4 linked regions of the Caenorhabditis elegans genome follow. The protein of the gene in region 4 interacts with the protein of the main gene of each other region in a pairwise test. Each region holds a gene or a part of one and is shown on either strand. Other genes may lie near its edges.

The links.
Region 1: the proteins of F10E9.3 (region 4) and prkl-1 interact in a two-hybrid assay, tested with the Caenorhabditis elegans proteins (one large-scale study listed by BioGRID).
Region 2: the proteins of F10E9.3 (region 4) and phaf-1 interact in a two-hybrid assay, tested with the Caenorhabditis elegans proteins (one large-scale study listed by BioGRID).
Region 3: the proteins of F10E9.3 (region 4) and cdap-2 interact in a two-hybrid assay, tested with the Caenorhabditis elegans proteins (one large-scale study listed by BioGRID).

The regions. Positions count from the first base shown.
Region 1 is NC_003282.8:6,981,560-6,989,677, forward strand, and holds the start of prkl-1 (LIM zinc-binding domain-containing protein), read right to left. Parts: upstream 5,377-8,118; coding exon 5,167-5,376; intron 4,989-5,166; coding exon 4,746-4,988; intron 4,651-4,745; exon of another isoform or gene 4,217-4,650; intron 3,776-4,216; exon of another isoform or gene 3,624-3,775; intron 3,351-3,623; exon of another isoform or gene 3,197-3,350; intron 2,989-3,196; exon of another isoform or gene 2,638-2,988; intron 2,513-2,637; exon of another isoform or gene 2,165-2,512; intron 2,012-2,164; coding exon of another isoform or gene 1,901-2,011; coding exon 1,763-1,900; intron 1,493-1,762; exon of another isoform or gene 1,472-1,492; intron 1,413-1,471; coding exon 1,353-1,412; intron 1-1,352.
Region 2 is NC_003279.8:8,283,551-8,291,668, reverse strand, and holds the start of phaf-1 (PHAF1 protein T01G9.2), read left to right. Parts: upstream 1-3,544; 5' UTR 3,545-3,560; coding exon 3,561-3,620; intron 3,621-3,664; coding exon 3,665-3,805; intron 3,806-3,855; coding exon 3,856-3,983; intron 3,984-4,214; coding exon 4,215-4,389; intron 4,390-4,585; coding exon 4,586-4,689; intron 4,690-4,734; coding exon 4,735-4,847; intron 4,848-4,892; coding exon 4,893-4,966; intron 4,967-5,014; coding exon 5,015-5,076; intron 5,077-5,540; coding exon 5,541-5,616; intron 5,617-7,191; exon of another isoform or gene 7,192-7,370; coding exon of another isoform or gene 7,371-7,724; intron 7,725-7,771; coding exon of another isoform or gene 7,772-7,879; intron 7,880-7,928; coding exon of another isoform or gene 7,929-8,057; intron 8,058-8,118. Other genes in the region: npp-2 (Nuclear pore complex protein Nup85), read left to right, coding at 1-142, 192-263; kin-10 (Casein kinase II subunit beta), read left to right, coding at 855-872, 1,030-1,186, 1,237-1,428, 1,596-1,785, 2,318-2,468; dma-1 (LRRCT domain-containing protein), read right to left, coding at 7,371-7,724, 7,772-7,879, 7,929-8,057. UniProt on the Caenorhabditis elegans protein: May play a regulatory role in autophagic activity.
Region 3 is NC_003279.8:3,324,199-3,332,337, forward strand, and holds the start of cdap-2 (SH3 domain-containing protein), read right to left. Parts: upstream 6,476-8,139; 5' UTR 6,414-6,475; coding exon 6,396-6,413; intron 5,745-6,395; coding exon 5,642-5,744; intron 4,839-5,641; coding exon 4,495-4,838; intron 3,884-4,494; coding exon 3,680-3,883; intron 2,533-3,679; coding exon 2,311-2,532; intron 1-2,310.
Region 4 is NC_003281.10:8,307,299-8,314,463, reverse strand, and holds F10E9.3 (uncharacterized protein), read right to left. Parts: upstream 3,458-7,165; 5' UTR 3,457-3,457; coding exon 3,096-3,456; intron 2,855-3,095; coding exon 2,237-2,854; intron 2,189-2,236; coding exon 2,079-2,188; 3' UTR 1,877-2,078; downstream 1-1,876. Other genes in the region: F10E9.2 (uncharacterized protein), read right to left, coding at 178-393, 441-565, 610-888, 937-1,018, 1,073-1,120, 1,592-1,664, 1,708-1,745; F10E9.4 (uncharacterized protein), read right to left, coding at 4,789-4,897, 4,951-5,056, 5,099-5,214, 5,306-5,419, 5,571-5,914; F10E9.5 (uncharacterized protein), read right to left, coding at 6,055-6,257, 6,311-6,394, 6,451-6,645, 6,689-6,806.

The sequences.
Region 1 (8,118 bases), on a different chromosome or scaffold from region 4:
AAATTATAGCAAAAAAATAAAAATTATATTATGTGAACATCAAATCTGTGGAAATCCATGGATACATCAAATGCTAAACATCTACAATCACCGATTCAGGTTTTGTCTGTTAGTTTTTAGGTTCTTTGACCATAGAAATATTCAATGAGCAAATTCGCTAAATTTCAGTTGAGTTATAAATACAGCTAGAAAAATCGTCATTCAGAAAGTTATATCTTACTTTCGTCTTTAAAATTTTCGCGTGTTAGCTTGAGAAAAATACTTGCGGCCTCGCTTTGCCTTTGTCCTCTTTTGAGCGGTCTCATGAACTTTTCCTAATAAATTTTCGAAGACTTCTAATCAAAATCAAAGCTTCAAGGATATTTGAACCGGATGAGCTAAAATTCTGTACAATAGGAAGTCAAAACCATCAGCTCTGCGCCTCCAAACGCTAGTTTTCATAGTTAAATCAAGCCTTTTGAAAATCACTGCAGTTGCTCCCTTTACCATTTGGTTCATATGAATAAATGTTTTCAACAATTATTTGAATAGTAATAAATAGGTGGGGAAGATTATTTTGGTCAAGTTTGGTGCTGCGAAAATCATTGGGAGCCGAGAAATGGCCTCTGAAGCAAATACGAACGTTCCAGGACAATCCTAGGCGTTCCACGTGTTTTCAGGGGTTATATTTATTTTTTAAATGTGAAAATGAAACCGTCTGATTATTTTGGTGTAAAGTTATTCACAAAATAAACTTATTAATTAAGAAGAAAACCCCGATTTTACCGAAAATTGCCAAAAATCAGAGGGGGTGCTATAGAAGTTGGACGGCCATTTTTCCGATATTTTGACCTAATTCCTGTGATTTTTGAGATATCATAATGAAAATTGGGGAGCATAGGTTTTTCAACATTTGCTATCGAACTGCACTAACACTTTTTCAAAAAATATTTTGAGAGGCTCCATACCGCCAAATTGGAGGGGGGTGCTATAGAAGTTGGACGCACTGTAGTACACACGTACCAAATTGAATTATATCTATAGGTATAATTACGTTTTCTTTTTTACAAATTATGTTTCAAAAACCAAAAATTCAAATTTTCAAAAATGTTTCTTAGCAAATCTCCCTTTTCTTCTTTTCCAAACTATTTTTACTATTCTTTTTGCTTTCTTGTCCTCAATTATTTCAAGTTGCGACACTTTTTTCTCCTCCAACCGCCGGCGCTTGGTGTTTCACCAAATCGCCTATCATAAAAGTTTGCACACCACATGTATCGGAAACTCAAAGCAAACAGTGTAAGGGGGCCATAAAATGGATGGTTCAATTGTTATAGTAGAAAGGGAATATAAAGTACAAAAATAGTGCTACTCACCTCATCACACTTGGCACATCTCGGCTTGACCTGTTCAGCATGGTGTCTTCCACAGTAGATCTGCAAATTTTTACTGTTTTGTGAAAAAAACATAAACTTTTATAAAACTTTTATCACGGTCTCAAAATAGAATGATCAAATAACATCGTAAGACATCCCAAAATTTTTTTTGTAGAGATGATGAGTCTGCAGTAATTCTCGAAATTTTTCAATTTTAAATCAAATTTTAAAATGAGAAATTTGACAATTAGGCAAAACTATTACCGAACATTTTTGACAAATCTAAAAATGTTTGGGTTGTTGTTGATTATATAAAATTGACTATATGTATTGACCATTGACACATTGTCTATATCTTCCAAAAAATTCAATTTCTGATAGTAAAAATTACTTTTTAAAAAATTCCTAACCTGATTGTCGTGTGCAAAATAAATCAAATCAACAAGTAGAACATCACACGTTTGACACCGAAAACACGATGGATGATATCTTTTTCCAGTTCTTGCAGCCATCACACTGATTTCTCCTTCTTCAAGACGTTTTGGACACTGAAAATTTACATATTCTAGTCGTGTTTTCAAAATTTGTTGAATAATTGAATAATCCTGATTACTCCAGAACGAGTTAATTTGTAATTTGTGTCTCAATTTCATTTTCATTTTCTCATTGAAATCCGGAGAGATGATAAAGATCTAAAATCCAACATCTTCCAAATGAGATGTGCCATTCAAATTCATCTTCAAATCTCAATCTGTCACATACAATTTGTTCACATTTTGTTGCGTTTTCGCTATGCAAAATCTGGCGAAAAGAAATGCATTAACAACATGTAGTACAAGATATTTTTCACTGTTTCAGAAACAAATAAAATTAATCGTCCAAATTCTTCATTTTATTGTTAGGACAGTCTCCACAAAATATACTCCCCGCCGTCTCGAGCAGGTGTTTTTAATGAAAGCAAAAAAGTATTTATATGGACTAGATTACAAGATAAGTAGCAACATTATACGGTCAAGTGCATCCTCCAGCCGGTGGTTCAGTTTCTCCATGTGTTTCTATAGTTATGTAAATACAAGATGGTATGCCCCTACTGCTACCCTCTTGACCGTCTTAGAATCTTTGTTGGTAGTTGTAATTTAAATTTATTTTTAAGAATCAAATATTTAAATTCTCAGTTGTTTAAAGTGTGCACATTGTGAATTTTCTCTTCTGTTATAAGTTAAGTAACCTCCGCATTAACAACAGACATGTACAACCATAAGTTGATAAGACCTCGCGTCTAATCTGACAACCAGACACCTAAAATTTTGAAATGGATTAGGCAACAGACACCTCTAAACAGAAAAACGTGACAGGGTAATCCTAGGGAAAAACTGCCTGTCTTCTGCCTACGCCTGGGAGGCACGTAGAAAGGTAGTGAAGACGTACCTACCTATTTCACAACTTCAATACTTTTGTTTTCCAAGTTCTTGTACTCAGCTAATCCTCAATATTCGGCGATAATTACTTGTAAACTATCAACAACTAACAAGTACCCTTGACACGCACACGGGTAACAATTGGAACTGACACATCCAATTCAGAAAACAACATGACACTGCCTGAATTGTCTACAAAAGGCAGATGTTCCCATGTCTCCTAATTCAGGTCTTCAAACCAGATACTTGGAGGGGCAACCAACTGGGCGAAGGGTATCAAATGCGCGAAAACCCCTGACTATGAGAGGGATCCTCTAAGAAAAGTGATTGATGACATGGTAACATGGCACCCAGGAAGACCATCTGTTCGGCACTTCCCTTCCAAAAATATACTGTTTCTTTCACCCTATAATTGACTTCTTGCTTTCCTTCTCATTTTCCTTGTTAATCTTGTTATGAGTAGTGTTTAGATCAAAACGCCCCGCGCGCGCATATCGGAAGAAGCTTTGTTTGATCTACCTACCATCTACCCATGACCGGATTAGATTAACACTGAGACGGCTCTAATCAGATTATAACTCAATGAACAAACTAAAGAGAACGAGCAGAAGGAGCGGAAATTGAGTATATTACTGTACATAACATTTACATTTACTAACTTAAGCTAGACCCCTAGCAACCCTTGGAAATTCAAAAGCAAAAATTCTAAATTCCTAAAACGAAAATCCAAGCTAACCCCAACAATGAGCCCCGTTGTCTCTCCTATTAATAAACATGTAACGATGCATAGGTAATTAGCAGTGACTGCTGCTGCTCAGCTTCTCCTCTGACAAACAGCCGGAGCTTCGTAGTAAAAGAAAGATGGATGAACATTGACAATAATTGCATATTGTCTATGACTCTATCTCTGTTTCTCTATTTCTCTCCAATATTTAGATGTTGCAATAATAATTGCAGACAGTCGGTTGCCATTGAATGAAATTATCGTCAGTGGAGATTTATTCGAAATCCACTTATTATAACACAAAAAACCACATATCATAATTTAAATACTTCAAAAATGTTCAGTTTTTTCAAAGTTTCAGTTAAAGTATGGGTGTATTGTTTCAAAAAATGTTAAAATTTAAAAAAATAAATTTTGAGCATAGTTTCGTACTACTAGAATGTTTAAATAGCAGGTTCGTACAACTAAAATGTTTAAATACAAACGATTAAAACGAAATTGGAAACTCGTAGAAAGTATTTTTGAACGCCTTCCAAAATTATAGTAATGAAAAATGAGTTTTTCCCACTTTTTGACTGTATGTAAAATAAAATCAAAAATTTATTTGAACATTTTAACACTATACATAGAAGCTTTTTTTACGGTACTGACGATACCTTCAAAAACGATATCAGAAAATTAAAAAAAAAAGGTTTATTTTTCGACGAATTTTCATGATTCCATTTGTCCCTTTCAAGTTGCTGCAACTATTCTCATGCCGTACAAAAATCTAACACCTAAGCAGCTGGCTTCCCCCATCGAGGTCAACAACCTCTTCTTCTCATTCTTCAGAACTTTTTTGCCGCACTCTCGTAAGTGGGACTATCCGAGAGCAGACGGCCCTCGCCGTTGTTAATGAGCATGACCTTTCTCAAATTTCCGTCATTGTTTATTCTCAAGTGTAAGACAGTGCCTACACGTTGGGAATGCAAAGGCAAAAAGCCGCCCGACAAAAAAGAAGCCGTGAAGATGATGATGAGGAGCATCCCAGCATAAGCATAGATGATGGTGCGCGGAAAGAGAGCGCTCGCGCATAAAGATTTATGAGTTTTGGGGATGGTGCGGAAAGACGAAAAAGAAAATGTTGTTTATGGTTTCATACGCCACAGTTTGGCAAGATTTACGGTTGTGCTCAAATGGGTCGAATGTCATAATAAGGCCGGGTGACGATTTTTCAATAAAACCAAACAAATTTTGATGGAAAATACTAACCTTTTCACATTTTGTATCAAATGGAGCATATTGAACAACACCACTTCCCAGGCATTCAGTTTTTCGAGTTCTTTCAAACATTCGCAATGTATCCGCTTCTTCTGCATTTAAATCTTCACAATATCTAACATCAGAATCCTGTGGTGGTAGTTGATAACGTGATTGACGTTGTCGCCATTTTTCTCCAGCTGATCCAATGAATGGTACCTTGTTTTCCGGGAGACAGGCGAAGTAGGCATGAACCTGTAAGAATTTGAATTTGAATTTGAATTTGAATCAGTATTTGAAGTGCACAAAAAACCATCTGTTTTGAACGGTCCACAGGTTGTGAACATTTTAATTGGTCTAGGTTTTGGTGTTCAAAAACCTAATTCAATTGTTCTTTATTGCACACGAGATCATTCAAAATCTCTATACTTACCATATTCGGCTTCAGACCACTAGGCACCCATGCATACTCGTCCAAAGCACATCCACTGTCATCATCAGATGTTGAATGCCTGTGAGCATCAGCTGCAATTCGGATTCTCGAAGCAGGCGATAGACCACCTTGAGCTCGACGTGATGAGATGAGCTGCGGTGCGAATTGCTCCGATGCTTCGAGACGACGACGGCGAATTCGTTCGCTCATCTGAAATAGGGACTATGAATTGAAAATAACACATTTTCATAAGAGAATGGCAAATTATACGATAAAGTTGAGGTTGACTTGGAAAAAAAGAAAAATAGTGTATGCAAAATCACTTCAAAAAAGCCTCCAAAAAAGGGTGTGTTAAGTGTTAAGTGTGAAAAGAAGACCAGTCCCTCTCTATAACCTTTTTGCTGCCATATAAAAATGTCAATCACTTTGGCAACACCATCACCATCATCCACAAAACTAGACCGGTCTCTCCATTGCCCCGTAAATCCCCACGACGACATCTGACCGTTTCATTTCTCATTTCACTGCAGAAAAGGACATCGTCTTCTTCGTAATGTTGATTCAATTAGAGAAAAAGATTCCGAAATCTTCAACTAGAAGACGACGTCCCGTTGAAGAATGAAAAATAGTAAAGAATCGGGAGACGTGTGTTTATGCTAATTTGATATGGCCTTGTAATAGAGGAATGACTGTTTGCCGTCGCGCACGCCGCCCCGTTTTGTCTCTGTCATTATACTGGTAATAACGGAAAAGTGACGGTAACTAATGGATTAATAGGAACATCTCAAAGGAAGAACTTTAAGATCTCAACGAATCTAAAGTTTTACTGTTGATTCCGACTTTGCGGTAGTGTGTTCGCAAAAAAGTAATAAAAGTAACAAAATTTACCATGATAGTTCCTGTGCATTTTAGAATGTGAAAATTACATACGCTTCATAATTTATATTTGAAGCATTATTCTATTATAGAGATTGTGGCAAGATCCATCAAGAGGAGTAGAAGACACCTTTAAAGTCTCACGTCATGTTTTCACAAACTCTCGGTACTTGAGGATATTTTTATAAACTATTTTCTAGGTCCTTTGGAAGTATTAGTGTTTTCACAAAATTTTATTACTGTTTCAAGGTGGCCATAAATTGCGAGGGTAATGTTTTTGAGTAATTACAACTGTTATTTGTTGTTAAGGAAAAAATTGCTGGCACAATCTTTTGAGAAAAATAAAATGAGAAAAACGAGCCATGAAAAAACTATTTCGAATATTCAAGTAACTCGAGCTTTTGTGAGAGCGGAGAAAAATTATTGTAAGAAAATATAAATGTGTGTTGGAAAAAATATAGGAAGGCGTAGAATGCCTAGTTTGAAAATTTCTGTAAAGATGAAAATGATTTCTGCTCAAGCTCTTGTAGCAGTTCTGAAATTGCCATCACTTCACGATTTCAATATTGAACGCAACAACACCCTGTACTACCAGAACACCAGAATGTGTATAGCGTACAAAAAATGACTCATTTTGCGGTAAGAATGAAATTGTGAAAATTGAAAACTTAAAACAAAAGTGAAACTAATGTGGAGGGCGTTGACCGGAACCGCATGGAATATCTCCCATCAGAACCCAAAAGCTACAAGGATCCTCCCACATCAACTAGAAGGGTGAGACGCAGACCGAGAAGCAGTATTTTGAGGGCGGGGTTAACAGTCTTACCGCATGTGTTTATGTACCCCTCATCTCGGCCAGGAAGGGTCTATATATGTGTGTGTGTCTATGGGTGACAGGTGTTATGATACATCGGTACTAAAGATGTTATCGGTTAGAGATTGGAAGTCCCTGGAGGGTATTGGAGTTGGTTTTAATCTAATAGAGGTGAATAGAGTTGCGGTAGATCAAAAGTTGAGGGCTCTTTTTCAAGTCTTAGATGTAATGATTAGATTACTATTTAATTATGAACTCTTATAAGATACTAAGATACTAATTATGAACTCTAATTTCCGCTCTCAAGCCTGCTCCAACAGAATTTCAACGCCTATTAAAACGGTAATAATTCCAAGAAGAAGACCGCACAAAAAAGCGACGCATTGAGGACAGGGGCGCAATGGTGAGGACCGAACGAGAAAAGACAATAAATCGTTTTTGACACTTTTTTGCGTCGGTGCCCTATGATGCGCATGTGTGAGTGAGACGAGAGACAGACACCTCACATCACGGAAGACAGCCGGTGATGGTGATGATGGTGCATGAGAAGGGGATGAGGAGGAGAAGGTTCATTAACAGAATGCATATCATGATATCAGAATGTCAAACGTTTGCCCGAAAAAGATACCATTGGCCCAGAAGTTGCCAAAGCTTGGGCCGAACTTGGGTAAGATTTGAGCGAAAATCGGTTGAGGCCGCACTGAAGTTTAAAAAAAAACCAAGTTTGGCAAATCCCCTTGAATGCTAATATTTTTGTAAATAATATATTAACGTTTCAAATTGTGTTGCATCCACCGTTTGGAAATTTTGGTTGTTTCTCATATTTTTATTATAGTTTCAAGGTGGCCATAAACTACTTGAGAATTTTTTTGAGTATTGAATAATCAATACTAGCAAACGTTTGGCAAAGAGTTGAAATGCCGAGATTATTTTTGAAAACAAGGTCTATGAAAGTTGAATTAAAAAACGTTCTAAAGTGTTGGAAAAAGTGGTTGGTATATTGCGATGCAAGACTGTTAGAGGGTATGAACGGAAAATATCGACAATGGCCTGAAAATTCAAAATACGATTTCAGTTTACTAAACTCTATTCTGAAAGTGAATAGTTTTCAAAGGTTATGTTAAAACTTACATTTGAACACTTTTAATTACTCAAAAGAATTACCCTCGCCATTTATGGACACCTTGAAACAGTAATAAAATTTGGAGAAAACACCAACACTTCCAAATGACCTAGAAAACTTTCCCGTCTTTCTTTTTTTG
Region 2 (8,118 bases), on a different chromosome or scaffold from region 4:
CGATTATTTAATCACGATTATCAAAGAGGATGGGCGTGCTGGAATCCGATTTTCCAAGGAGATTCTCTATGAGCTCTCAACCTTTTTGTCAACGTTTACGCTTGATAAACATCGAGATTTGAATGATAATTATATGAAAAAGGTAAGTTTTATAGACATTTTTATGATCATATAATTATAAATTGTTACAGGTGAAAGTGCTCAAAAAGATGGTAATGCTCAAGTTGACAGACTCGATTGCGAAAGGAATTGCGTGCTCTTGAATAATTTATGAATTAATTTTATTTTATTTACATTTGCCGATGTTCTTTTTTGTTCTGGGATCTCAGAAAATTTAATTTTTTGTATGTGAATAAGGATCACATCTCTTAATTTTTTTACTATTACTTGGTTTTCCACACAAACTCGTTGAATTTCGAGGCCAACCTACCTTCTTTTCGAGTTTTCCCCAGAGATCGATAGTGACCTATGTGCTATGCAACCGTGCCCCATTGCACGTCCACAAGGCCTCGTCAGCTCCCTCGTCCTCTTTTTTCTGTTTCGACAGAAAACTGCTGGAGTTTATGAATTTATGTGGGCGCACATGACTGTGATCTATTGATTTTCTTCTGCTTTTTTCAATAATTCTGAACCATTTCACCCAACCTGTACCCATAATTTCAGGCAGTTGTGTGCTTTGCGCGCAACTCGGCCAGTCATCGACGTGAACGCCACGGCTTCTGCTCGCTGGCGCCAACTCGATTCCACTTCGGTGAGTTATCATTAAAATATTATCAAAAAAAAATTTCTTTTGATTACAGGCAGAGTCTGGTTCGCAGTCAGAACAAAGCGCTAGTTTGTCTGGATCAGAAGTCATGAGTAGTTCGGAGGAGGTTTGTATTATATTTCTATTTTCTGCGGAAAACAATCAGAAAAATCTAAATAGCCGTTTTTTTTAATGATTTATATTTTAAACTATGAATTTAATAACAAGTTTTATGGTCGATTGGTGAAATTTATTTTTAGTTTCGAATCTTTTTTTTTGTTCAGGTATCATGGATCACATGGTTCTGTGGCCTTCGTGGAAATGAGTTTTTCTGTGAAGTCGACGAGGAATATATTCAGGATCGGTTCAATTTGACAGGTCTCAATGAGCAAGTGCCCAAGTATCGACAGGCTCTTGACATGATTCTTGACTTAGAACCAGGTGATATTTTTGCTGACTTCATGTGCCCCCGCAATGTAACCTTTTTCTAGAAGATGACATAGAGGATAACGCAACGAACACTGATCTTGTTGAACAAGCCGCTGAAATGCTTTATGGACTCATTCACGCTAGATATATTCTTACGAATAGAGGAATCTCACAGATGGTCGAAAAGTGGCGTGATCATGACTTTGGAGTTTGCCCACGTGTCTACTGTGAAAATCAGCCAATGCTTCCAATTGGTGAGTTATAAAAAAATCGCTACTTCATTGGTTGCGGATAATTTTTTTTGAGAAAAGTGAAACTATAAAGTACTAAATTTTCCTAATTTAAAAGTGCATTTCCAATAAAATTTAAAACAAATATTTGTTTTTACACTAAAATTTCTGTAAAATTCCAATTTTTCCAGGATTGTCTGATGTTCCTGGCGAGGCTATGGTGAAATTGTACTGTCCACGTTGCAATGATGTTTTCGTTCCACGATCATCACGTCATCAACATACTGATGGAAGCTATTTTGGCACCGGATTCCCACATATGCTCTTCTTTGTTCATCCTGATCTGCGTCCACGCAGACCAGTCACTCAATTCGTTCCAAAGTATGTCAGAGGATATATATTAAGCTAAATATTTGAAAATCCGAAATTCTAATTTAAAAAATCTTTAAAATCTCGGCAATCGAGTAAATCTTTTCATTTCAGTATACCAATTAAACTTTTTGAATAAAAAATGAAGTAAAATATTTGCTTGATTCGAAAACACAACTTAATAATGTTGGAAAATTCAAAACGACTAGTGTCTGAAGGTTATTTTTTCGGCATTCGGCAACTTTCAGGCTCTATTTGAGATCTTTTTTCAAATATTTCAACAAGAATAAGTTGCAATTTCGAATCAATAAAATATTTTGACACATTTCTAAAATCATTTTTAATTCAAAAAGTTGACTTGGTAGACTGAAATTAGAAGATTTACTCTATTGCCGAAATAAGTTGGCTGTACTAAATTAGATTCGAAATAATTTTAGAAATTAGAAGATCAAACAATAATATTTTATCCACTTTAAAAATTTAGCAGAACTTAGTACAATAATAATTATGTTATGTGTAAATTTTTAAATATCAAAATTTTCAGACTCTACGGTTTCAAAATTCATCCTGTTGCTTATGGAGGACAGGAGGGAAACAGCGGCGGAAATACGGCGAATAACGTTGCCGCAGCACAAAACAACACGACTCCAGCCGGGCAACAATCTGGAGGACAATTCAATAATTATGGTCTCTGAGCCACTTTCTTCCTTATTTTTGTTTTGATTTCTTCTTTCCAGTTTCCATTCAGAATGTCCCCCCTCTCAACACAACATCCTTATTTTCTTCATTGTTTCGTTTTTTCTTCTCCCCAAAATTTTCTTTTCCGACAAAACTCAAGAATCCGGCGGTTCTTCCATGCGTGTTTCTCTTCTTTTCTAAATCTGTTCTATTCCAACATTATGCGAATTTAAGAAATGAATGAAACGGTAGATCCCATACATCTCAAAAAGAGTGTTCCTAATTTTCTGTGTAAAAAGTGCAACGTTATTTATTTGTGCCTGTCTTCGTCACGCGGAAACAGCTGGGCGGGAAAGTGCGCTCTACTGCAGTCTCTCAGTCACAGCCTTCGATTCTGCCATCGACGTCATGTGTTTCTTTTCTTTTTTATTTACTATTTGAACGGTTTTAATATCTCCAGTTGATTTGGTTAACGATTAGCACATTGATTTCTGCTTATTTTGAAATATTTCAAAATTACAATTTTTGAAAACGCTCCATATTTTACCTGAAGAAAAAACTTTTGAACAGCTTTTCACATTAATTCCAATATATTTTTAAATTATATTGCATAAACGTGAAATTTTGCGAGGAAAAGGCGATACCCCGGTCTCGATACGCCTTTTTTGTAAAATAAAAACGGACGTGTACCTTTATAGAGTACTGTAATATCAAACTATCGTTGCTGCAAAATTTTTATCGATTTTCAGTGTTTTTCGGTAAAAATGTATTTGTTAAAAAAAATAATAAAAGAAAACGACACAAAATTTTTACAAATCGTGGGAAAAAGTATGAAAAGTCGATAAAAATTCAGTAGCAATGAACGTTTAAAATAACAGTACTTCTTAAAGGCGCAGACCCATTTGTTTTCAGAAAACAATCGTCGCGCCCAGACCGGGTACCGTACTATTGGCGGAAAAAAAATTTAGAAAAGAATATACCAAGTAAATATCAGTTCTCAATTTTAATATATATTTTTCTTGTGAATCATAGTTTAAAAATTCTTCTTTGTTTTTTCTCCAACTCTTCAAAAATTAAATAAAAGCTTTTACAGCTTTGAATCATCGAAAATGAATGGAAAACAGCAAGTCACAAAGAAACCATCAACTGAAGAAGATCTGAGCTTCACGGTTTGTTTTAAAGTCAAAAAATCAATAATAAATATTTTCCAAAGAAATTCAAGGTTGTACCAGATGTTGGTCTAAAAAGTTCACAATTCGAATTTGTGCTTGGTATGCCAATCAATCAATGTATTGCAATGATTCAGCAACATCCAAGAATGCTTACAAAAGTCGAATTGAAGTACAGTAAAAAGGTATAGAAATTAACTAATTATACTTTTAAATAAAGTTAAATTAAATTCAGGATCCATTCTACCAGGATATCATCATCTATATCGGTTCTACAGGAATTCGTCTCTATTTTGATGGCCTTTCACAGCTTATCAAGCTAATTGAAGTGGATAATCTTTCAATGATTACACTTACTTATAAGTATGATACCATCAAAAAAAAAAAACTACAGAAGCTCGTTTAAAACTATTGAATTTAAAACAAATTATGGCGTTTTGAAAATTCGAAAAATTTCAGCCTTGCATAAAATCTGAAAATTGAAAATTCTCTCTGTTGAATTCGGTCGTTTCGGGTCATTGTGAAACTATCAAAGAAAAAAAATCAATTTCAATTGCCAAGATAGTCATACAATTTCTTCATAAAAATTTTCAGCGATACAATCTTCTCTGATCCAAATAACATGGCGACGTTGGATCGGGTCAACGAATTTTTTGGATCGACACATCCAGGATCATATGATGATAAGCACAATATCTATGTGCAAAGTTGGCCGGGATTATCTTTCTGTTTCCCATATGGAGGAGAAAATTCGAATTTGGAAGTCAGGGTACTGTAGTTTGATCTTTTTGGGTATTAAAGTTGGAGTACCGTCTGTGGGTTTTTTCGAATCAAAAATACGATACCGAATATAGTAAAAAATTAAAAGAGTTTTTTCTAACCTACAGCCGCTACTTCACCTTTAATTTCCAAAAAGTTTTTTATATCTCCCAAAAACCGAAATTTCAAACATTCTTCAATTTCAGCCTGGATTTGGTGGAAATCTTCGTTCGCTGAAATATGATGCCAACTCTCAACCAAAACTTACCAAGATGTCCATTTATCGTGGACCAAATCCATCTGAGCCAGAGTGAGAATTTATTATTTATTTCTATTTATTTCTCAAAATTTGAAGATCCGTGGATACTCCATTCTCGTGTTATTGTGGTCAAAATCGGACGAGAAAAGTCGAAGCAATTTGGGAAAATGGGAATATTGTTGGAATTGATATTCAATTTGATACTCAAAGTACTGGAATTTTTTGAAATTATTAAAAAAAGTGAATATTTGCAGACGGAAGAATTGTCGATGGAGAGTATGATGTATCCACGTACACACGACAAATCTATTTTGGAGACTCTGTTTCGGTTGGTTTTCTCAATCAAAAAAATTTGTTCTAAAAATTTAAATTTTAGGATGTGCAATCGATTCTTGGAGCCCCGACAAAGGTCTTCTACAAGTCCGATGACAAGATGAAGTACGTTCTCGTTCTCTTGAAAATTCAAATTCTTTTCTCACAAATTTAGATTTATTTTCAATAGATGTTGAATTTTCCACTGAAAATTTAAACAATTTTTGAAGAAAAATTTTCTTAAAAAAAGTTGAAGGGTTTCAATGTAAGCGTTTTATATCAATTAAAAATAATTCATATAGCATTTTGTTGATATTCAGCAATATCCAATGAATAAATTAAAAAATTGTGAAAAAAGTTCTTTTTTTTCAAAATGCCTGAAATTTATTTAACAACTTTCCAACTAATATTTAAAAAGGATAAATTTTGAAAAAAAAAGTTAAAAGATTTCAGAAAATTTCATTAAAAAAATATTTAAAAATTCAGGAACGCCTAAAATTTCTCGAAAACTGAAGTTTTTAAAATTTAACCATTAACAGTTTCTAGCTTTATCAAAATTTCCGCTTCATCTGAATATTGAAAATTTCCAGAATTCATCGTGGACTTCACAAGGAGACACTCTATGGACCACCAAATTTCTTCTTCAACTACTTTGTAATGGGATTGGTAAGGTTTTTAGGGATTTAGATTACTGTAGCAATTCTTGCTATTGGGTACTATATTTTGTCTGTCAATGAGTCGAAGTTAATGTTCCAATCCCTTGTAATTGAACATATCCGGGAAAGGGATCGCTAATGCACACGCAATGGCTATTGTAGACAAATCTTTCTTCCGCATATGATAATAATCTGGGTAATCGTAGTGGTGGCTCCCTCTTGCATGTCCATGGCGTCCGGAAAGATTTACGACTCTGTAGAGAGAGAGAGAGAGAGAGAGAGACTCTTCGTTTGTGACACTTGTACGAATTTTCATCTGCTACATTTAACAAGAAGACGACTGAATTACTACTACACACTAATGACCTTCGTTTTTTGACACCGCACAGTTTATTTCATCAAGCAGTAAAGAAACTGAATGAGAGGACAAAGAAGGTGTCAATTCATTTTTTGTCGGAAGATGGATCAGAATTTCAAAGAAAACACAGCTATGGTCAATGATGAAAGCTTTTGTATGATTGAAAATTTCCTGCGTCATGGTTTCCTGAAATTGTAGTCTTTTTAGCTCATAGAAAACTTTTACCGACGCTCACGATCCTTACACAGGTGATTCGCCGTTTATGGACACCAACAGTAGGCTTCTACCCACAATGGATCTATACCAAAGGTTTTGGGTTTTGAATTTGTCGTCGATATATTAAATCTTCATTAACAAATTCCCCCGGAATTTTGAATATGAGGCAGATGTGCTGCCATATAAAGAATATTTATACAAGAAAGATGTCAATTAATTTAAAACCACGCGCGAACATACGATGGCAAGTCTTGGAAATTAGCTTTTGTAGTTTCAACAAGACTACTTCTTTTTGATCCAAGAAGCTTTGGTTGACTTCCAGAAGATTGATGCTTTTGTTTATTGAATCGTAGAGAAATTCGATCACAAAATTGTATACTCAAACTGAAAGTATACAATTTTATTGACTGTTCAAAAGCATAGAATAGTGGTAATTATCGAAAGAGACGGATGTTTACATGTGTACTTGTGCGACGAACACCGATCCGTCATTTTTCATAGTTATGTCTTGTTCTTCGTGGTCATCTATCCAACTTAATTGGCATTGGCTTACTCCAATTGTTTTGGGTGTCACTTGGGAATCTAACGGATGAGACGACGTGTCATAACAGATTGTGCAATCTACATCCACGAATTCGCGCGCGTGTGCACATACATACGCACATCAATTTATTATTCGAATGGCTCATAAACTCATAAATTAACGAGTCCCTGTCGAACAACCAATTTTCAATTCATAAACGTCAAAATTTTGTGGCTACGGAGATTTTCCCGCGGAGTTTTTTTAAACGAAAAAGTCAACTCTCCTTCTCGAAACCTTCTCAATTATGCATTTGTCTTGGTGTGCATTTGACAAATGAGTTGACCCCCACAGAGAACCAGGGCGTAAAGACAACAGCCTCGCCGATTTATTACTTCTTTGCCGACGGATTTACGGCCGAGAAGAGGTGTCTTACCTCTTGAAAACTACTATTATGCTGCTGATTAAGGCTCCTGTCTATTTCATTGAACTTGGTATATCTACGAGCAGTTTATTTTATTTACAGACAAAGGGTTAAACAATTGAACACCGTATCGAAAAAGGGGGCAAAAATACATGAAAATGGGGCTGGGAGATCGAACGACTAGATGGATGCAAATAATCACACGGATTTAGATTTTTGAAACATTTGAAACTCTCAAAAGGATATTTAAATGCCAAAATAGGATGATCCAGGTTTTGGAGGTGCTGGTGGAATCAATGGAGGAGTGGCTTTAAATGTTTCAGTACTAACCAAGAATGGATCAAATGGTGGTGATAATGGACCATGTGTATCATTTGTACTCGAAGAGCAACTATGTGTGTTTGCCATCGTGAGTGGAGTTCGAGAGTGTTCTCGTGTCACATATGATCCTTTGTACTGTCGCTCACGAAGGAAATAGATGCATCCAAGAATCATAAGAAGTAGTGCGGCAAAAAGGAGAACTCCTGCGAGAAGTATGAGCATTTCACTTGTTTGCGTTAATCCATACCGTGCACCAAACAAAACGGCACAGTCGTTTACCTGAAGTTTTTAAATAGTGAAATTAATAACGTGAATGTGAATCTTACGTCGGTAATTGCCAGAACTGAATGACCTTCCACAAGCGATGGTGTCGCGCATCGGACATTATCGTAGTTGAGAATGTGTCTCATCGCATAACGATCTCGCATATGAACCTGAAAAGATGTTCGAATTAATTCAGAAATAAGAGAGGAAAAGACTCACTTGAAGTCCTTGAATAGCACATGAACAATCCCAAGGATTTCCATCTACGTACACTTGTTCAACATTATTTAGGAATGCCAAATCTGTATGCGAGAAGGTGTGGAATCGGTTGGCTGTGATGTCGAAAGTCTAAAGAAATCTCAGTGAGCAGGTTTCAAATGACATGCGTGTCCCCATATAAGGGGGTCCA
Region 3 (8,139 bases), on a different chromosome or scaffold from region 4:
AAGTTATGGTGGTTCAAAGTTCGGAAAAATAAAGCTCATTTTCAGCTAAAATCAAAATTTTTTCCAACTTCTCGGTGTTGCAACGTCTGGAACCTAATTTTTATTTATTCATCACTTTTTAATAAATATTGCGGTCTTTGATTGGGCGTTTATTCGTTGATTTAAGTACATTTATGGTCAGACGGGCACAAAATGTAACTTTTATTTGTGTCCCACTGACCAGAAATGTGCTTAAAACAACGAATAAACGCCCAATCAAAGACCACAATATTTATTAAAAAGTGATGAATATATAAAAATTAGGTTCCAGACGTTGCAACACCGAGAAGTTGGAAAAAATTTGATTTTAGCTGAAAATGGGCCTTATTTTGCAGAACTTTGAACCGCCATAACTTTTTTTTTGAGAAATTTTCAGAACGTCTCATTACGAAATTCGGTAGTTTTGGACCAATTTGGGTCTAAAAAGACAAAGTCTCAAATTTCGGTACTCCACCTTTAAAACTGGCCAAAACAAAAATTCTCGAAAAATGCTTTAATGGCAGCTTGAAATTGGAAAAAAAAGTAAAGTTTTCCTTAAAATTTTGAAATTTCGTCAACTTATTTCAATCACAGCGACTGGAAATTAATGTTCAAATTATCATCCTATTTTGCACACAATAATGTGGTCTCTGATTTTTTTTAAAAATTCAATGGCGCCGAAAATTTGTACTGGAAAAGAGTCTAAAAACTAGGAAAAAAAACATTTACTGGAATTCTTGTTGTAGTGATTGAATTAGAATTGCAAAAAAAAAGTGAGGGAATGTGTGAGAGACGCCGACAGCTCTCCCCAATGATCGAGAATTCAGTGTGTGTGTGTATGTCGGGAGACAGAAAAAAAAAACGAATTTTTCTCTCGTGGGAGGATGAGGTGTCTCTGTGTCTCTCACATAATATTCTGAGTAGGTGGAGATTTGATTTTTCCATCGTTTTTTTCTAAACTCATGAGAGGTGCCCCCGTCGTAAAGAAATTTCGGCGTCGGCTCTCAGATTACCTACTTTTCGTAAAGTTTTTATTACATAACAGGGGTGGGCAAATTTGTCGGTTTGCCGATTTGCCGGAAATTTTAAATTCCGGCAATTCACCGGTTTGCCGCTTTGCCGGAAATTTTGAATTCTGGAAATTTGCCGATTTGCCGGAAATTTTAAATTCCGGCAATTCACCGGTTTGCCGCTTTGCCGGAAATTTTGAATTCTGGAAATTTGCCGATTTGCCGGAAATTTTGAATTCTGGCAATTTGCCGATTTGCCGGAAATTTTGAATTCCGGTAAATTGCCGATTTGCAAGAAATTTTCGGGAAATTGACGGTTTGCAGATTTGCCGGAAAATTTGAATTCCGGCAATTTTCCGATTTGCCGGAAATTTTGAATTCCGGCAAATTGCCCATTTGCCGGAAATTTCAATTCCAGCAAATTGCCGATTTGCCGGAAATTTTGAATTCTGGCAATTCGCCGATTTGCCGGAAATGTTTAATTCCGGCAGTTTGCCGATTTGCCGGAAAATGTAATTCCGGCAATTAGCCCATTTGCCGGAAATTTCAATTCCAGCAAATTGCCGATTTGCCGGAAATTTTGAATTCTGGCAATTCGCCGATTTGCCGGAAAATGTAATTCCGGCAATTAGCCCATTTGCCGGAAATTTCAATTCCAGCAAATTGCCGATTTGCCGGAAATTTTGAATTCTGGCAATTCGCCGATTTGCCGGAAATGTTTAATTCCGGCAATTTGCCGATTTGCCGGAAATTTTCGGGAAATTGCCGGTTTTTTTTAACCAAAACTAATTTGAAAACTGAAAATTAAGATTAAAAATCACCAGTTTTAATTTAAAAAATTAATTTTCAACAGGAAAATAAAGATTGTTTGTTGAACAAATATTTCAAAATTAAAAAAAAACGATTTTTAAAAAAAGTTTTTCTATGGAAATATTAATTTTCAAAATAAATTAATATTGGATTTTTTGGCAAGTTTTCGATTTTCAGCGAAAAAAACCTAAATTTTTATTTTTCCTGCTAATAATCGATAAAACGGAAAAAAATTTCAATTTTTTCGGCGAATTCCAATTTTTTTCGAATTTTCTATGTATATTAATGTTCTAGTTTTTTTTTTTTTTCAATTTTTGAATTTTACCGATTTTGGAGTGTTTTCAGAATTTTTTTCGGTTTTTTTAAAAAGGAATTTTCAGAAAAAAAAAATCACACAACTTTAGGATTAATTATTTCCAGAAATAAAGTGAAACATTTTTTTTTCAATTTTCTCAATAAATCCCCTCCTCACCACTGAAATTTTCGCGGGTTTCGGTGGAACAGCCGGTTGTGGTGGATTGACTGGTGGTGGTTTGTGAGAGACAAACGTCAATGTCGCCTGACGTGAAATCGACCCATGTCTGGCACCGGATTCCGTTCCCAGTGGGACTTGAACCAATTCGACAAAATTATCCGGAAATAAGCCCTTCTTTCCGTGCAGTTCACCTTCAAACCATCCAGCGTCACCGCAGTTCTGCAAAAAATTAGTAGAAATTTGAATTTTTTTGGGAAATAATTTTTTTCCAAATTTTTAATAGCTTTTTTTGTTTAATACTTGATTTGAAGAGCCGTTTTTTGAATTTTTTTTTTTTTGCAAAAAAAGTTTGAAAATTTAAATTAATATTAAATTATAAATTTCAGGCCATGTATTTTTTTAAGTCGAAACTGTTTTTTAAAAAAATCATAAAAATTTAGAATATTTATTTTTCGCATGAGTATGACTTTAAAATTGTTATTAAGCAAAAAAAAAAGAGAAAAATTAAAATTTTGGCATTTTAATCTACAAATTTCCAACTTAAAGTCTAATTCGGAAATTTTAAAACCCAAAAATTAAAATTTTTGCCGGATTTTTCAGGGTATTCAATTTTTTTATCGATTTTTTTTAGAAATATTTTTTTCCAAATTTTTATTAATTTTTTTGTTTAATATTTGATTTGAAGAGCCGTTTTTTGAATTTTTCAGACATTTTTTTTGCAAAAATTTTTTAAAAAAATTAATATGAAATAATAAATGTTAGGTTATGTTTTCTTTGAATAAAATTTCTCAAATTGTTAAAAGCAGCGTTTCAAAAAAATTTTTTTTTAATTTGTTAAGATTTTTTAAGTCAAAACTGTTTGCGCAAAAAATTTCAAATTTTTAGCAAAAAAAAAACTTTTAAAAAACAACTTTAAAAAATTTCTTGAAATTTTCTAGTAAATTTTCGATTTTTTAAATTCTGAAAATTTTTGGGGATAAAAAATTCGGCGAAAATTTGAATTTTGATAAATTCTGTTAAACTTATAATTTTTCCAGTTGGAGTTTATTATAAATATGACGTTTTCAAGCAAATATAATGAAAAAAAAAATTAAAAATTGGGGATTTTAATCTACAAATTTCAAATTTAAAGTCTAAAATTTGGAAAAAAAATTAGACTTTAAACTTGAAATTTGTAGAATAAATTCCTCAAATTTTTAATTTTTTTGCTTGAAAATATATTAGTTTATTAGTTTACTTAACAATTTTAAAACCCAAAATTTTAATTTTCGCCGATTTTTTAAGGTTTTCCCATTTTATTTTCCAACTTTTTATCTAAAAATTGCAGAAATCCTGATTTTTTTTTCCGATTTCAGTGAATTTGCACCTTGTTTGTAATATTAATCAGCATATCAATCTCCTTAAGAGCCAGCTCATCATCGTGTTGGGGATTGTAGACAAATTTCACGCGAGCCATTTCTTTCGTTTTCGTAGTTTCTGCGTCTGTGCTCGCCGAGGCTGCAGAGCTCGCAAATGTGCTGCTGAATTTGGTTTCCAAGGCTTTGAGCACTGGAGCCGGGTCCGAGATTATCTGAAATTTTGATTTATTTGATTTAAGTGAAATTCTTCAGTTTCTGTATTTAAAAAATGTTTGAATAAAGTGCTGAGAAGCCATTTATGGAATTTTTTAATTGGAAAAAAACTATTTTCTTTTCAGTTTTTTAAAATTTAATTTTTCAGTTTTTTTTTGTTTTTGTCGAAGATAACTTTAATAAAAAATTGTAATGTAACAAATTTTAATTAAAAAATTTTTTCACTTCTAACCAGAAACTTACAATTAAAAGCTGAAAAAAAAGAGTTTTGGAACAAATTAAAAAAAAAATGTTTGGATATTTATATTTTTTGAATGAAAAATTAGCTGAAAATCAAAAAATAAATCGGCAAATAGGCAAATTGCCGGAACTTTTAAATTTCCGGCAAATCGGTAAAATGGCGGAATCGTAATTTCCGGCAAGTCGGCAAACCGGCAATTGCCAATTTTCCGGATTTCATCGACAAAAAATTGTTGATTTTCAATTATTTAAATTATTTGAATTTTTCCAAAAATTTGAATTTTTGCCATAAAAACTGATGTCTCAGGCACCGATATTTAAGTAAAATCTGTATTTTTGGGATTTTTCAGATTTTTTTCGCTACACGAACCGTCGACGGAGTTCTATCAATAGCTTTCGGCTCGCTTCTCATCACAACTTCACTTCCAATCGATTTTGCCGGAGTTCGAGCTGCTGAGCCCGCCGAAGTTGATGCACTAGCCGCTGGAGCAACTGCAGCAGCAGATGTGCTCGGCGTAGGCTTCAACGTCACAAAATTCGTCGGGAACATTCCGACGGCTCCAGTCGACTTGAGTTTTCCCTTACTCCAGCCATCTTCAACATCAGAGATCAGTTCGATGAGATCTCCGACGACAAAGCTTAGCTCATCGTCTTGTTTTGAGCTGTAGGCATACGTGGCCACGTATATTTGAGCTTGTGGTTGTGGAGGGGGAGCTGCAAAAAATATTTAAATTATTTTTTTGTAAATTTACACAAATTTTAATTTTTTTTTTCGAATTTTTTAGATATTTTTTTTCAGGATTTTCATGATTTTTTTTTAATTGTTAGAGCTATTTTAATATTGTCCCTCGACGAGTTTTTGAGCACCAGATCGTGAAAAAATCACGAAAATCGTGGCGGGACCCATTCGATCCAAGCCCCGCGCCTTTAAAAATGTTTGGATCTTTTTTTCAGTGTTATAATAATAATAATTGAAAACTGGAAGAAAAAAACATCTTTTTTAATTTGAAAAAAAATTAATAAAACTACAAGATTTTAGTGGAATTTAATTGGAAAAACTTTCAGATCGGCCGTTTTTTCCCCGAATTTTCTAGAGCTTTTTGAGAAATTTTCCTATTTTCTCGGACCAAAGCTCTAGAAAATTCGGAGCAAAAAAACGGCCAATCTGAACATTTTTCTAGTTAAATTCTACAAAAATCTTGTAATTTTATCTTTTTTTTCAAATTCGTCAAAAATAGTTTTTCTTCCAGTTTTCAAATATTATACATACTGAAAAAATATCCAAACATTTTTTAAAGGCGCCGGTTTTGGATTAAATGGGTCTCGCCACGATTTCCATGATTTTTTAAAGATTTGGTGCTCGAAATAACGTGATTAAATTTTAAAAATTAGAAACATTTAAAAAGAAAAATTTTCACAAATGAGAAAATCTCCGGTTTTTTTTTCATTTTTTCGACTGAAATTCTCAAATTTTTCGGTTTTTTTTTCAAAATTTCCAACTTTTTTCTAAAACAAACCTCTCCGTTCCACCTGTTGATGTACTGTAAATGGATTTCGATTTGTCATATCTCGGGAAAGTCGATTCACAATATCTCGCACATTTCCAGCGACTACTTCTGTCTGAAAATTGGCAATTTTTAGATAAAGATTTTAATCTGAAGTCTTTTATTTTTTCAAAAAATCACAATTTTCCGATTTTCTTTTGTTTTACATATGTTTTCTTTAAAAATTGCAGTTTTTACACATTTACTTGGAAAAAATAAAAAATTTTCACTTTTCCTAAAAAATCCCAAAATTTCCCATATTTTTATCCCAAAAATTGTAACTTTTTTTTCAAAAAATCATAATTTTTACAATCTGTTTTTTTAAAAAAAAATCAAAATTCTCACACTTTTTTTCCGAAAACTCTTATTTTTACCAATTGTTTTTGACAAAAAAATCGCATTTTTCTAAATCTTTTCAATCAAAAAATAACATTTTTACGTTTTTTGCCCAAAAATCTTAATTTTTACAATTTTTTTTTCCAAAAACGGAAATGTTTCAAATGTTTTTTATTTGCAAAAAAACAAAATTTTCACACTTTTTTAAAAATCTCAATACTAAAAAATCGAATTATTTTTTCTAAAAAGTCGGAATTTTTTAATTTTTTTAATCAAATAATGGCAATTTTCTCATTTTTTTTATCCAAAAAATTTGCAATTTTCATGACTTTTTCGACAATTTTCTCAATTTTCCAAAAAAAAAAAAAAAGAGATTACGAAATATACTAACTTCACCAACTTGTGCCATTTGTCCTCGATCCGCGAGTGTCCAACAAAAAAAACAGTTCAAGGCGGCTCTCGGATACAATTCTGGAAAAAATCACAATTTTTTTTAATTTTAAAATTAAATAAAGACTTTTGTGATTTTTTCAAGATTTCCAAGGTAACGTCAAAAAACCAAACAACGGCCAAAAAAAAAGGCGAAAATCGATAAGGAATTGTTTGTGCAGTGATGGTGGAAAATGTGGGGCAATAAAGTCAAAAACTTCTGTTATCAGTGGGGAGATGTGGAGAAAAATTTTGAAAAAAAACGTGGAGTGAATTTCAATTTTCACTTCTTCAATTGTGTGAGTTTCCCCCGAATGAGTCATCGCAGTGGTGTCTCCTATCGAGCGCCGCCGCGGGAAAGATCAATCACTTTTCGAACGTGTCCCCCTCCCCCACCCCCCTCTTCAATGCGTTGATGACCTGTGAACAGAAAAAAACGCGGCCAAAACAATAAAATCTCGTAAATTTATATTTTGATCGAGATGACATATTTAGGAATATATAATACGAAAATGCAAAATTCTGAGAATGCGAAAAAATTGTGAAAGTTTCGAAATTTTTTTTGAAAAAAAAAGGTGTAAAATTTCAATTTTTGAAAAGAAAAAAAAATTAAAATCTCGGTTTTTTAAACGAAAATTGAAAAAAAATCGAATTTTTTGAACTAAAAGTGTAATTTTAATTTTTAGATTGAAAACAATGTGAGAATTCCAAATTTTTGACACGCTTTCTCATTCATTATGACGGATATTACACGGTAACACGAAGTTGTGAGAATGCGTATTGCACAACATATTTGACGCTCAAAATATCTCGTAGCGAAAACTACAGTAATTCTTTAAATTACTACTGCAGCGCATGTGTCGATTTACGGGCTCGATTTTTGAAATGAATTCAAATAATTTAATTTAAGATTTAAAAATTAAGCAAAAAGTGAGAAAATAGGTAATACAAAGAAACTACTTTTTTCATGTCAAGAATCGAGATCCCGTAAATCGACACCAGTGCTACAGTAGTCATTTAAAGAATTACTGTAGTTTCCGCTACGAGATATTTTGAGCGTCAAATATGTTACGGAATACGCATTTTTACGAGTTTTGTGTTACAGTAATAACGGTCACAATAAATGATTTCCATTTTTGGAAAGGATAAGAAAATCTCGTTTTATTGGTGGAAAAATTGAATAAAAATCGATTTTCGAGACTTTTTTGTCTAAAAATCAAAATAACACTTTTTTAATCGAATTTTTCAATTTTTTCCTTCAAAAAATCAATTTTTCGCGCTTGTTTTTGATAAAAAGGACTCAAAATTTATTTTTTCGAAATATTTTTGAAATAAAACCAAAAAAAAATTTTTGGACCAAAAAATCGAACTGATTTTCGATTATTTTTTTTGAAAACCGTAAAGCTTTTGAAATTTTTGGGAAAATGCAGAAAACTGACAAAATCTCAATTTTTTAAAGTTTTTTTTTCGATTTTAACATCGCGCGAATTTTTTTGTCGACAAATTCGACAAATCGGCAAATTGCCTATTTACTGGATATTTGAATTCCGGCAATTTTCCGGTTTGCTGATTTGCCGGAAATGTTTAGAGGGATTTTTTATAAGACGGAAACACTTAAAACTGTGCCTTTTTGAAATTTTTTCCCGTTTTCTTTGAATATTTTCATAGAATTTGCTTGCTTTTCAAAACTGATGTAGGAACCAGGG
Region 4 (7,165 bases):
TATCAAATAATTCAATCATTTTTTACTATCTCAATTTTCACTTGCCCCCTCCCCCATTTCTTTCATATTGATCTTCATGGTTATTTTATTGACTGTTATAAACAATTTTAACTTTAAATGTTCTGCACAAAATTCGGGATTCAGATTGCAAAGATTTATTGGAACACTGGAGACATTTCAAGATGATCTCGGATCTTCTGCACGACTCGACGGACTCAAACTTTGAACATTTTCGTGTGAGATTTTCTTTTCTTTTTCCGCACTTTTCTTCTCTTTCTTCTCCTCACCACTTCCATCTTTCTTCTGATCATCTACATCCAGGAGCAGCATCTTGTGACGTGTAATCTTTAGATCACTGAGACGAGTTTTCGAATCGCCGACTTCAAGAGGAGCCTACAATCATCCTTATCTTTTTATATTCAGAATATCAAAAAACTAACCGGGTCACCTCGACCAGAAAACTCGCCTTCGCCTTCTTCACTCGATGATTTCTGAGTTCTCAGAGTAATCATATGGGTCTTACCGCTGACACCAAGAAGCGTGTAGAGTCGAGCCATCAGATCGTCTGAACGATATAATTGTTTAAAAATCTTAGATTCTTAAGCTTACGATAAGTGGCATCCGTTGGAAGGCTGACAACGACTGGCTTTGAAAGGTACAAAAAGTACCAAAGACGTTGATCCGGAACCTTCTTATGTCGACGAGTCCTTCCACTTTTTGATTTGTTCACAGATCCTTTCCGAGTAGCACGAGTACTTCCTCGAATCTTTCCACGTTCAGCTCCATTATTCGACAATTCTCCAGTATGCTCAGCAATTTGTTGCGGTGAGACTTCACGCGTAAAAGCATTTGACGGAGATGTCGAAGTGGCACAAGACGAGTGGTTTTCTGAAAGATTGAACTCTTTTTATCAGATTTCTGATCAATTTCTGTTACCTTTTGGCTGAAGTGGACTACACACCAGACAGTAGAAGTGCCCACAATCAAAACGATCCAAATTGTTTAACCCAATGATTAACTGGAATAATTGGTTTGATCTTTCAAAAACCTGCATTTTGTAAAACAATCTTACTTTCTTGCATGCATCACATTGTAATGAAAAATCCATTTCATCTCCGACCTGAAAAATATTAATTTTCAATATATCCAGATTTTAAAGTGAAAGCCGCCCAGAATTCATGCACAAATAAATATACCTCGCCACAGCAGGTTACTGTAGCTCGTGTAGATCTATGGACCGCTAAATATCTTTTTCCAATGAAGCGCCAAGATTTTTTTCAAATAAAAATATTATGCAATAGCGACCCAGAATTGACAAGTTACAGTATTTCGTTGTTCGCGCGGCGAGACACTGCCGCGTAAGTTGACGGAAATTCTCATTTTTATGTAGACGTCTACGTAATATAGCCACAGCTCCAGTAGGCTTAACTTATCGTAATCTTAACGTAAACACGAAGACCATTCAAGAATATCGCTAAATTAGAAAAGTTACCAGGACAATTTATTTCGCTGTAAAACCTACTCTGTGCGTTTAAGTTCGCGTTCCAGAAAACTGTCAATATTCGAAACCTTTAATTCAAACGAAACTCACATCATCTTCAGTTTTTTCATTTGCTGAAGAAGTTGATGAGAGGACTTGCTTGGATGAGGAATTCATTCCAGTACTGAACAAATTTCAATTATCAGTGTTGAATCAAAACGACTTACTGGATTTTAGAGAGACTCGCTTTTTTCTTTTGCGACATCACTAAAATCGATTCTTAATCGGATAAAATACAAAATGATTGAAAATTGGAACTTTTTTCTTTTTTCCTGTTCCTGTAGTTTTTGTTGTTGTTATCTACGCTTTCGATCTTAACAATAAGCATCCACGTTCTATTAAATATATCATTTATTTATTATAAATAATATTCTGACTTGAATCATGTTTTTGTTATTTTTCAATTCAATGATGCCATGGATAAAACAAGAAGGGACAATTATTGGAAACGAGGAATGAAGTAGATTTTAAAAACGGGGTCAATTTGGAGAGTCTGAGGAAAAGAGAAAAAAAAATGATATAGTGACGATCAATACATTTAATTAATATTATATCTTGTGATAAGGGAAAAGAGGTCTGATGAGAAATTAGTGTATTCATCCTTATCCCGAGATTGTAGAGTGTTGAGACCATTAATAATCATCGAACCTGGAAAATTAACAAATTATAATTTTTTATACAAATTAAATTACTAACCAAGAAGCATATTGTGATGGCTGGATGCTCTTGCAATATTTCCTATGCTTTCCTTTTGAGCATTAGCCAATTCCATAGCTTCTTGAATTGAATCTCCATTAGTTTCGTGATCCCCTCCAACCATCACTTGCATTCTGACTGGCGACTGATCACGGAGCATTGATTGCACATCTATTATACCATTGGACGATGAAGTTGATGTTCCAGAAGATGCAGATGAACCTGATCCTGGAGCTGGTGACACTGCGGAAGGCGGCACTTTTCGGAAGTTTTCACCGGCTCTCCCCCCATTGTAGGCTACCAGTGAAGATCTTTTCGGGTTCTTCCCATCTTTATCCTTATCGAAATGTCTTTTTCGGCTTTCAAGAAGTCTGGCAGGCCCGAGCGACGAATTTGACCCAACAACATTTATGCTTCCCGCAATATTACGAAGAGATCGAGGCATCGGCGGTGGGACCCCATACTTGCGAATCCCAACTGAAGGTGATCCGGAAGTAGACGCTGATGTACCAGGGGCTGATGAAAGATGACGAAGAGATGCAAAACGTGTTGTAGCAATTGGAGGTGTCTTTGAAGGTACAGGGCGAAGGTTTTTGTTCAGAAGAAGAGCCTTTGGAACTGAAAATTCAAATTTTAAAAAATGGGAGGTTGTCGATTATAAAATAGGGAAATTGCTATGTATCTGGGCATTTTCCAGAAAATTATATTAAACTTCAAAGTTAGTAACTAATAATGTACAATATTTCGATTAAAAAAATTAAATTTTTATACATTTACTTACTGGTAATGCAAAATAAAATTATCAAATTTTTCTCAAGATCGAATATTTCTTATAGAATACGATTTTTTTTCAACTCACTTGCCCCTCCACGATTGAGTCCAAGTGTATTTCTGGTTGATGAAGACTCCGATGGTGGACTATTCCGACGATTTTTGACAGTAGCATCATCTGCGGTGAAAAATTGAGATAATGCTTCAAGAATACTTTCATTCTTCGTTTTACTTCCATCAATATCATCTTCCTTTTGTGCATCTTCTTCTTTTCCATCTCCATCTGTATCATCATTCTCTCCACAACTGGCTTCTCTCTCTAAAATCGGTGGTGGACCATCATCATCTTCTTCTTGTATCGGTGCAACTTCTTTATCTTCTTCAATTTCTTTTTTGATTTCCTTTTCTTTTTTCGCGAGGCTTGAACCGCGCCGGGTTTTTGAAGCCATTCTGTAAAATAATTCATTATAAATACTATGTATTTTTGAACCAAAAAAGGAGAAAATACAAAAAAAAAATTTTCTCAACAAATAGAGCTGTAATAAAACAGAAATCGCGGATTTTTCAAATTTAAATTCATTAGATTATTTTTATGGACTTGTTAAATACTAAATTCAACTTGATTTCACATTCATCAAAACGTGGTAAATTTATATTTTTGCTCAACATGGTAACGAATTGAAGCGACCCTAACCAATTAATTTTCTTTTTTCATGGCTTATTGAAGAATTAACTATAAAAATGGTAAGATTCGATATTTAAAAATAGTATTTCTCAATTTTAAGATAGCTGAAAACGATAATAAATCGGAGTGCATAGTACAAAGATATTGATCAATTGGGCTAAAGATTATATCTATTCTCGAAATGGTATGAGAAAATTCACAAATCTGGGACAAATTTAAAACGCTGAAAACCTTATGAATCCAAGCAAACTTGAAACCAAGTGAAAAAAGAAACGAACAAACCGCGGCAACGATGCGGTAAATAGTGTTTGGGTGGTAGAGACATAGACTAAAGGCGGTGGCTGTTGGTTGTGTCTCGCAACGAATAAGAGTGGTACGGTAGAAAATTGGGGTTCTGTAGGTGCGTCCATGTATCGATTAAAACTGGTTGGAAAACAGGGAGAATTATGATTTTTAAGCATTTGATGAAACTGATAGATGGGAAGAAGAGTGATTGTTTCTATCAATTGTGATAAGTTGGATTTCAATGTTGAAGCATGAAATTTCTTATTTCTGACTGGCTATATGAAAATTTTACATGATTTGACGATATCGACTAGGAAACTAGAAACTTATAACTGAAAAGCTAAAATATTCTCCTGATATTAATACTTTAAAAAAAGTTCAGATTTCACACTAATAACTCATTCAAATTTCCATATTCGAGTGATCCAACAATTTTTTTAATTGGAGCTATTGAGATCAATATCCTAGGAAGTACATAGTCATAATAATATCAAAAATTGAATAAAGAACGAAAATCCTTGTCACAAAGTTTTGATTTCTACTTTTCTCTCAGTCTCTTCGTTTTCGGATAAAAATTGAAGAAAAGAGAGCCGTAGACGAATAACAAAAACGGCTGGCACAATGCCAAAGTATCTTTGAAGATTAAAAAACTGAAGCAACTATAGAAAAAATACGACAATAAATTTGATAGGTTCATAAAGATTAAAAATAAAGTCAGAACCAAAACAGAAAAAATAACAAAAAGGTAAAAAAGAGTACAAAAATCAACAAAAATTACTAGAACAAATAATGAATAACAATCAGAGACAGATTATTCTTCCATGTCTTCATCTTCATCTTCTTCTTCTTTTACTTTTTCCTTCACATCCGTTTCTTCATCGGCTTCATCTTCTACTTCTTCTTCTTCTTTTATTTCGGCTCTGAAAAATAAAATATTAGTTTTTAATAATAATAATCTTCAATGTGAACCCACTTTTCAATCATTTTCACATATTCTCCTTTCAAGTGACATAATGAACTTTTGATTCGGATTCCGCTGTATTTCACTAGAATCTTGTCATCAATTGCAACTTGATCTTCTGAAAATTTCTCCGTTTTCAAATAGTCTAATTTTCATTTACCTGAAGTCTTGTCATTCTGCTTAATGTGAATTGTGATCATATCCATGACAACACCGACCATAAGACCTTCTTGCACATATTTCACTTTTGCTTCGTATTGATCTCCGATTTTTGGGCTGGAAATTAATTCAAAACTATTGAAATTACGAGAATCATTTTTGATAGTCTAAAAATAAATGAATTCCCTATGAAAATTCAAAATCTTACATGAAAACAATTTGATTAATTGCAACATCGGTATGGAAAGCATATTGGTCGGAAATGACACGTGGCGCAGATGCAAGATCGACACTTCCAACGGCTACGACGATTCCTTTGTATCTGAAATCAAAAATAAATATTCGTTGTGAATTATAAAATCGTTATTCAGTTTTCAGCATTCATATCATTATACAAAAAAATGTTTTTCTTGAGAATAACGAATAAAAATTAAAAATTAACACTCTTTGTATATTTTAACTCATCAACTTACTCTTTTCTATACTTTCCGACAGTATTTTGAGCAATCCAATCACATGCTTCTTCCATTGCAGCTTTTCCAGACATGTGATAAGGTAAGGAGATATGACGTGGCATCACTTTTTGAACGAGTTGACCTCCTTTTCCCTTTCCGCGCATCTTTTTGATTAGTTTGAGTCCATCTTCATAATTCATGAAAAATTGTTCTTTGAAACTTTTCTTTGATGTTTTAATGTTTGCTCCAAGAGTTCTCAATCGATATTCTTTCTTCTCCTTTTTATCCTTTGGTGCTTCACTTTCTGTTTCCTGGACTTCTGTAGTTCCATCCTCGTTCTCGATAAACTTTTTCTTTCCCATTTTTACAATTCTGTAAAGATTGGTAAACATTTGATATGAAATAATTAACGAAACAGGTAAACATTTTCGGCTCGAAAACCAGTGCATAAAAACAAATACAGTAGACACGAAAAATGCTTTTAGCTTCATATAAAGAATAGTCAAAATCTGAATGGAATATTAGGCCAGAGCTGAGGATTTTGTGAATATTCGGATTCAAACTTCATTGCCAATGTACTTTCCATTGCTAGAATCTTTGTCGCTGATTCTCCGTAATCTTTTTTCGCTTTCTCTCTTTTTGCTATGAATTCGGCGCTGGCGTTTCGGTGATCCGTTGATTGCTCTATACGCCCACGTATACTAACTAAAAATGCCCATTAAAATTTATCAAACCGTTAAATAAACCAATTTTCTTACTTTTATCAACGTTAACGTATTCCTCTTGACTTTTTGAACTTGATTGCCCTTCTTTCCGTTTTTCTGCCGCTCTTTGTTCTTTTACTGAAATAAACAAAGTTATTTAAAACAAATATTCGTCTAATTCCGATTAAACTTACACTTTTGACGATGTTCTTGTGTTTTTGCAAAAAATGCTTTCATCTCTTCACTCATTTCTTCAATATCTGATTCTTCATTCTCAATTTCACTATATATTTCACACCGAGAAAGTCTTTCGATCACTTCCGGCTCTTCAGAGTCACTAAAACATTGTTCAGTCGAAAGATTATCTCTCTGGACCATTTGCATTTGAACTGAAAATATACAACATTTTAAGAACAGAAGCTAACCAATTACCTTGACGTGATGCATCTGTATGTTGCTTTATCCATTGATTCGAAAAGTCATAGTGTCTCCAGAAATGATTGAATGCAGGATCTCTTGCCCAATCATTGTGTTTCAGAAAATTATTCATTTTAAATAATTAAAAGTATTAAATAAATAAGTTTTTTTCGAAAAGAAATTAACAATATTTATTTCCCGAGAGGATTACACAAAACGTGGCCGAAGTTTCACAAAAATTCGGCCGCGTTATTTCGGAGCGTCGTTGTGTGAGAAAAATGGCGGAGTTTTTTACGATTTAAAATTATAAGTTAAAACATTTTCTCTTCAATATTTATTTTGAAATTAATTTTTCAGATTACACATAAAATGTCAAATGTTGAGTCGCCGACAGTGAGATACGAGTTGCCGAGTGTTTCTGCAGAGGTAATTATATATTTGTTGTATTATTTATTAGAAATTGTTTCACTCGACTTTTATTTTTCCTTTATG